2 linked regions of the Oryzias latipes genome follow. The protein of the gene in region 2 interacts with the protein of the main gene of each other region in a pairwise test. Links are inferred from orthologs where the notes say so. Each region holds a gene or a part of one and is shown on either strand. Other genes may lie near its edges. The genes, in order: telethonin and ttc19.

Region 1 (3,490 bases), on a different chromosome or scaffold from region 2:
TTTCATTTTTTATTGTGACCTACGGTTGTCTATTTACAGATTTATTCTGGTTTCCCTGCTGGCAAACACTAAAACCATCAAACCATAAACTTGTACTTACATTTTAGAGAGGAATTCCTCTAGTTTAATAATCAGTATTAGTTTTCCTAAAATCCCTTCTCAGTCCACCTTAAACATCTTCTCTTTTAGTGTTGATGTTAGGTGACAGCATGTCTGACTGTTTGTGGAGGTCTCCGATCTGGTTGATCTCCCACTAGACTTGTGGTTTTCTTCCTGCATGGTTTTGTCATGCTTGCCTCATTTTTTCAGTTTGACCTTTTTGGAATTATTTGTAACATTCATAGAAGGCTGGACTGTTAAAATATAATGCAGTACAGTGAGACATCTTTGGATTCTGAGGGTCCGAGTCTGTGAAATGGACTTTATTAGTAACTGTTAAACTCAGTTCCTAATAAAGATCCTGAGTTTTGAACGTTGTGTTTAGGTTGCACTGTAAGGAAAAACAAATAAAATTTGTGGTTTTTCAACTTTTATTATGAAAAATAATAATTTCCTAACAAAAAATCAGCATCATTGCACCTTTGAAAATGATTTACACACTAATACAAGCAGCTAGTTTATCATCGGTTTCTTTGTGAGAAACAAATAAAAGCCGCCGCTAAACTAACAAGACAGATGAGATACGCCTCTATAAAAAAACAGGTTGTCATTTTTCCCAAATCCCTGCCTGGTGATGTCCTTTAGTGCACACACGGAAAAAACACTCGATCTGAAAGCAGCAATGTGTGTGTGATTGTGCCAGTGCATTCTGTTCCCTCGGCGAAGATCAGAAGCTGGCAGAAGCTCTGGAGTCCTGGAGAGGGACTAACATGGTTTATCACACCCCCTCTGACTCTCCTCCCTCTTTCCATCACTTTTTTGACCTGCGTGGTTCTTTCACTCATTATTTTCCATTACGATTCACAGACGTAAACTTTTAATCTAACAAAAAATTGTACTTTCAGTTGTCCTTTTGTGGTTAAACCCTCAAGTCCTGACAATCAACTTCCAACATCAAAATGTGCGACACTACAGACGGGTTTACGTTTCTTCTCAAAATTATCCCTGACTTTCTTCCATTCTTGAACTTGTCATTTTTCTCATCCCCCTCTTTCCCTCTTCTTCCTCACTCTTTCACCCTCTCTGGACCTCCTGGGACATGGAGCGACCCAGGACTTGAGGCGATTTGGCGAACTCCATGGTGGCTAGTTTGACAGGTGGGAGGTCCCTGGTGATCTCGTCCACGGTCCTCTTGCCAGGACAGAGCCCGTTTGGAACTGGGATAGGCACCAAGTCCTCCTCTGTGTGTGGGCCTCCACGCCCCAATCTGATGCCCAGCTCTGTGGGAACAAAAATGGGCAGGGGCAAAGTGTTTCTCTTTGGCAGCAGTTGGTGCTCCTTCACCCCTCTTTCCACAGTGCCCACCCTGACGACGCCAGAGGGGCAGGACTGGGTCAGACAGCGGGCCTGCCACTGCCGGGACAGAGTCTCCCGGCGGGAACTGTCGTTCATGTTCATGGTTTGTCTGTGGAATTCAAGAATTCCATAAAAATCTTCTTCATAGGACAACCAATTTGAGTTGAAGGGAGTTCAAATGTCTCACCTGTCCTGGGGCTGAGTCTTGAGGTAAACACTGACCCAGTCAGCAGCGTAGCTCTCCTTCTGTGCATTGTTCACCTCCCGCACGCTGCAGGTCAGCTGACCTCCCACCACCACACCGTTACTCTTCTCCAGCACACTGCAGATTGGCATCTTCTTTCCTTTGGAAGATCTCTCTCAGACTTACGATGTCCTGAAGATGTTGGCTTGTCTTAGTGATGCTTCAGGCTTCCTCTGTCTCTGCCTGGGATGTCTTTGCTTGGGTCTGCCTGTGGTTTATATAGACGCCCTGTTGCTATTTCTGATTCGTGTTGTCATTCTACAACCAGCGTGGACGACATCTGACACTCAGTCCAATGCGCCTCATTCCCGGACAGCTGGAAGCTCATCCGAGGAGGCTCTCTGGGGGTAATTGAGCGGAAAATCCCCTGATTCTCAGATTGTGCGCCCAGTCAACTTTTTAATCACCCTTACCACACTTTCCAGCTCCGTTAAAGTATCAGTAGACAGTGATTACATAAGCAGGGAGGCAGGGATGGGACAACAAGATTTGGGTTTTGACAGACACAAACAGCAGGTGAGACTTCAATCAATCCCTAATATAATACAAGTGCAGCGAATAAGTGATTCATGTCTGACTCGGAATACTGCAGTTTGTAATAACTGCTGCTGCTTATCAATTATGAAGAAGTACTAGCTGAGATTTTACGATGCTGCATGACAACATCAGTCATCAAAGGCCAGCGGATCTTCATCCTGATTCATGAACCTGGTGACAGAGCACTAATCAGCTCAGGTTACAGATCGAGAAGCGTCCACGTAGACTCCGACAGATCTCTGCCGTGGTGCCTCACTACCGGTCTTCGTCTGTGACTCATTCATCCTTACGGGGCACTTATTTCACCACAGGGCAGGTATCACTTATCGCACACGGCACAGAACATGACCCCCACAACAAGATGCTCCATCAGACAACAATAATAATACTTTGGATTCTGATGTTAGTTTTGTCTTCTGGTTAATCCACTGTGCGTTTGATCGTACTTTTTAGTTTCGACAACACCTTATGTTAACATGAACTTTTTTTGGATAGTGGAAAAAAACGAAATGTCACCACCTCAGACATGTTGTGAAACCATAGCAACCACGAATGTCATTTCAGAAGCCTCTTAAATCATTTTGAAAGTACCATCCCTGTTTTTCAGCAGTTGTAGACCTGAAACGAGAAAAAGTCATTTTCTTTTGCAAATTATGAGAGCAGAGTGGTTATTATTTAGAAAATTGTTACAAATGTGTGAGTGGTAAAAGTTTGTGAGCTTCAGTGACAGTCAGCGGATCTGTATCACCGTGACATCTGTGCGAGAAAATAACTAAACTTTTCCAGTAACTGCTGTTGGTGACGCAGGCAGAGACTTTTTATAGGAATGGCCAGAGAGATCCGAACACCAAAAATAAATGGAAAACAAAATAATAAATCAATGTTGCTTCTTCTGCAACAGAAGATTCTTATCGCTTTAACGCTACATGTTGTTTATTTGCAACGTACAATTTAAGCCAGGACTCTACCTGAATGGAAAAGACACTGAAGGATATTTTTTTAAATAATTGAGACCAAAATTTCAAAACTTTTAACAAATTAAATAGAAATAAACTGTAAACAATAAAGAAATATAAAAACTAGAGTCAACATAAAATATTACATATACAAAAAGAAGTAATTAAAAAAAAGAACATGAAAAGACAAGGCACACCCTTTAGGGTGAATAAACCTTAAATGAAAATTACGTTGTGCTTTTACTTTCCACTTTCCATGATCTATTAAGATAAAAAATAAACCTAATGGTACAAAACT
Region 2 (4,591 bases):
GGGGATCTAGTTTAGTTTAGTCTGAATTGAATTGAATAACGATATTGTTCTTCCTTTGAAAAGGCTTGGGTCAGAACTTGCTAAAAAACAATCTGGCTTACCAGAACTTTCCTGACCTAATTTCAGCGTTTGACATAAGCGGTTATCCGGTTGTCCGAGACAACCAGATTTCACGGAGGACAACCAAATGAACCTGATGGTTGTCCATGTGACAACCTGATCTTTTGTTCAACATTTTGGTATTTTTCGACTATTTTTCAAGTTTCAATGGTTATTATTTGGCAAACTCTGAATTGAGACCTATGCAGCAAATTCTTTCCACTGACAAACGAAGTGCATGCATGCAAGCGAATCCTTTGTTTCTACATCTGTACTTTTCAATAAAGATTACCGGTTTTCAAATACGTGTTGAACAATACCTGGTGCGACCGCTAGAGGTCTCCAAAAACACACAAAAGGATTTTGTTTTCAATTTTTTGGCAATACTTTGTGTAACCAGATGCTTCAATATTTAGTCAAATGTTTGTTTTTAATATTTAAAGAGTTTTTTAAATGTCCATCATAAGAGGCAGTTGATATTAGATGTATAGAAGAAATAAAGATGTAAGTACTGACATCTGAGTAGGTTTCGTTGCTGTTGAATATTGGTATCGAAGGACAACCAAAAATTGGGGAGGACAACCAAGTTTACTTGCCAGGTTGTCCCTTATTTCTAACACTGAATTGTCACCTGTCAGTATCTCACCTGTCTGCTTTTCTGCTGGAAGCTCTTTGTGTTTCTCCAGTTTAGCCTCCAGAGATTCTGTGCAGAACTTGAAACCATGTTCAGCAAGCTCAGCCCTCAAAAAACGACAAACTCAGGTCAGAAAACTCTGAACTTCCACCCAGATAAATCAGTTGGCCCGCCTCTCACTTGTTCCTCTCAGCATAGATGGTGGCCAGTTTCAGAGACATCTCGATGACGGCGTTGTCGTCCTGGAGGCAGAGTCAGCTGTGAGACTGCAGCTGTTCCGTTCAAATACAAATGAGGCGCCGGCACGACTCACCTCTGGAGTTCCTCCTGACAGCATGAAGCTCATGGCGGCTTTGAAGAGTTTCTCTGCCTGAGAGGAAGAGGAGCACAGATGAAGATGTCAGCTGACAGCTGAGAGCTGCAGGATATCTAAAAAGAGATAATGATGTGCAGGAATAAGAGTTACTCCTAAAAGACAAACCCAGCTTCACATAAAGTGAAGGAATGTATCTGATAAAAATGACAAACATGTTACAGTTTAACCACTTCCACAAACGGTTGTGACTATGCTGCAATGAGCCAATACTCACATTCTCCAGCTGACCCTGAACGTAGGCAAGATTGGCCATCTGAAAAGCAAAACAAATCTGAGTCACGTAAACCAATAATGTGGTGGTAGACTGCATTGTTAAGCTGCATGACAGCTCCTGCCTGGACAGGTGAGAGCTCACCTGGCTATAGGTGTAGATGATGGCCTGTGTGTTGTGGGTCTGATGAGCCAGAGCGACAGCCTGGTGCAGAAAGGAGGAGGCGGCCTGCATCTGACCACGGTGGATGCTGAGCTGTGTACGAGTACAAACAGTAAAAATATCTTTACTTCGCTGCAACAAAACACTACAACATTACTGTAACAATGCCACAGCCGCTCCATCGTAAACCTGTTCCTCTACAGGTGACTCTCCGTCTCTGCACCGTGCACTGTGCACTGTGCACGTGCAACATGCAGGAGTTCCTGCTTCTGTTTCAGCCCGGCTTATGGTACCTTTGCTTTCTTCAACAACAAGATCATCTCATCCTCCTTCTTCTGAGCTTCATCCCGTTTGTTTTCCTCAGAGCTGCTGAACAGGGAGAAGGCTGTGCGTGTGCACACACAGTCAGCACAAAGAAGAAATACACGTGCAGTTTTTGAGACTTTAGTCTGACCGAACTCACCGACTGCTGCCCACAGAACTCCTGCTCCTGTCTGGACGTTTCTCCTGAAGTGTCCATGTCTGCTCTGCGCTATCAAGCATCTGGAGCTGGCTCCTGCCTCAGGTTGTGATGTCACAGAGAAGCTCTGAACAGCAATGGAGCGCCGCCTGGAGAAGAGAAAAATATCTATGCATGACAAAAGCAGGCAGAGCTGTCCTGATTGTCTGATTAACAGTAGATGACAGAATTAAAGATCTGTCTCATAAGCCTAATTTTAGAATGATTATGGTCATCAACATCTGACATCAGATATTCATGCACCCATATTTAGCTTTGAAACATGCCTGATCTGTTGTAATATCTGTAGTAATCTGTATGTATTGTGTCTGTACAAACTGATCTGAGGTAATAATACGTTTATTTATCTACATTTTAATACAGATTTTTTTCCCATTTCAGATTTTATGTTTTGCTTTGGTCACATGACAGTCTTCAGGGATCTGGTTATCATTATCATCAGCTGGTTTATGCACCTCTTCTCACTCTTAATCCAGTGTAATACAGCAACAATATGTATTCTTATTAATTTGTCCCCTGATCTAATTTAAACTGGGAGTGTTTTTAATGATATAATAGTGAAAGAAATGCCGGTAAAACCTGTTTGAGCTGACGCTGTCAAATCAGAGGACACCTGAACGCACCACGTCCTCAAGTTTAAGGCGCGCGGCAGAGAAAGCCGCAGCTATCGAGCAGACTCTGAGAGCGGCTGACGGCTCCCACTGACGGAATTCTCCACTCAGTTAGGGTGGGTTAAAGGACACGAACTCACCTGAGTCCCGCCGAACCAAAAATCCCACTCTGAGTCCGGCGGAGGACGGCCAGGACCGCACGGTATGCTGCCATCTTGCCTGTTTACACAAGACCGGAAGTGACGCTTCAGGATGCACTTCTTCATAATAAAAGACGTACTGAAAATTATTTTATTTTGAAGCAATACAACTGAACGTTTGGCGAATGAGACACGACCCGTATTTACAGTGAATTCGCTTGTGGGTCCTTTCTGGCTATAAATTATAATTTTGCACATTTTCAGCTATCTCTATTTTAGTTTCAAAACCATTAGGATTTCTATATGTTGTTTGCTTTTCTTTCCTTTTCTTTTTTTTTTTTAAATATTTTGGAGAAAAAACTGATGCTCCTTAGAAACAAATAAAAACTTCAGGAAAGTTTTAGCTATGCATATTATAAACTATTAATTGTTCATTAAATAAGAGGCCCTTTCCCTGTTTTTATTTTTTGTATGGTACTTGTCTTGAGTAAGTGATAAAATAATTGGTACCAGGAACTTTTTAGTTTGTTGTCATTATTTAACCCTTTTAAGACAATTTTCTTGTTTTTTTTAACCTTGTATAGGTTAAAAAATACGAAAATAGGAATAACACTATAGTGTATTTAGTCGAATTTAGAGAATTTTACCTTTTTTTCAGGTATTTTGTCCATTTTTGCAGTCAATATTTAATAATTTACTACAGTTTTCTTCCACTTTTTTTGTGTTCTATGTCATTTCAAAGTTATTTTTAAAAATGTATTATATAAAGTATTTTAGTCTTTTCATTTCCTTTAGTGTTTCAGCATACTTCAACTTTTAGTACTCACTCAAGAATTTCTTTTATATATTTGATAATGATGTTGTAACATGACATATAAAACAAAATAATGACAGCAAATCAAGACAGTTCTTTGTTTTGGTTTTATTGTAAGTTTCATTTTTACTTTTCTTCAAGATGCATATTTACAATATTGACAATTGTTTTCCTTGTTTAACTAGACAGACACATCCATCAGAGAGCAGGTAGAGCCAAACATCAGACCTCGGACATCAGCTTTGACTAACGTTCAACCCTTCAAGAACAGGTCCAGACTTTATGTTTCAGATGAACTAAGACCAGGTTTCAACCCAGTGAAGCACAGATGGAACAATAACAAGCTTTCTTTTTAAGCTTTGTTTGTTTCTTCTCCATTTATGTGGTCTCTCATAACCGCAGAGGCTGACGAAAATATTTTATTAGAAGAAACCAATTGTTTAACTGTTGGGTCTCACTTCCTATTACTGTCACTACCCCTAATGTCCTGCTGGTTTTAAACATAGAGGTTCACCAAGATTTTCTTCCAGAAAGCAAAAATTCTTAGGTTTTACTGGTAGGTTTGAAGATCAAGCTATTTTGTGTCACCCACATTGACTGTATGAAAACTGGACTGAGTGACGAATGTCGCATTCAAACAGGAAGTATCCGTCACTTCCAAGACGCTAAAATCCCATCGACTTTTATAGAGAAATAGACAACTATTCTTCAGTCATCATACTTGAAGAATAACCATTCTTGCTCTGATTCCTTTATTAACATCTTCTTTCTTCTTTCTAATCCTATTTTCATTATATTTTTCTGTAGAAAAGGTTATTCAATTTATAAACTTACCAATCAGATGCTTCAATAAAAGTATGTCGTCACACGTTTAATGTTTGAAGCGTTTGACAGATTCTCCTGAGTCTGCTTTCAAGTGGCAGGGGTGTAGTCTTCTAACAAGCTCACTTCTGATTGGTAAGCGTGGTTCAGTAGATAAAATGACTCACTGCATACTGATGTCTGGCTCCAACATGGCAGCGTG

The links.
Region 1: the proteins of ttc19 (region 2) and telethonin interact in binary tests that used the Homo sapiens proteins (3 or more experiments, as listed by UniProt). The link is inferred for Oryzias latipes from reciprocal best matches to the Homo sapiens genes TTC19 and TCAP.

What each region holds. Positions count from the first base shown.
Region 1 is NC_019866.2:5,748,177-5,751,666, forward strand, and holds telethonin, read right to left. Parts: upstream 1,903-3,490; 5' UTR 1,792-1,902; coding exon 1,643-1,791; intron 1,565-1,642; coding exon 1,174-1,564; 3' UTR 513-1,173; downstream 1-512. UniProt on the Homo sapiens protein: Muscle assembly regulating factor. Mediates the antiparallel assembly of titin (TTN) molecules at the sarcomeric Z-disk.
Region 2 is NC_019875.2:10,841,892-10,846,482, forward strand, and holds the start of ttc19 (tetratricopeptide repeat protein 19, mitochondrial), read right to left. Parts: upstream 2,865-4,591; 5' UTR 2,828-2,864; coding exon 2,754-2,827; intron 2,092-2,753; coding exon 1,946-2,091; intron 1,868-1,945; coding exon 1,776-1,867; intron 1,576-1,775; coding exon 1,465-1,575; intron 1,363-1,464; coding exon 1,324-1,362; intron 1,104-1,323; coding exon 1,047-1,103; intron 976-1,046; coding exon 914-975; intron 841-913; coding exon 746-840; intron 1-745. UniProt on the Homo sapiens protein: Required for the preservation of the structural and functional integrity of mitochondrial respiratory complex III by allowing the physiological turnover of the Rieske protein UQCRFS1.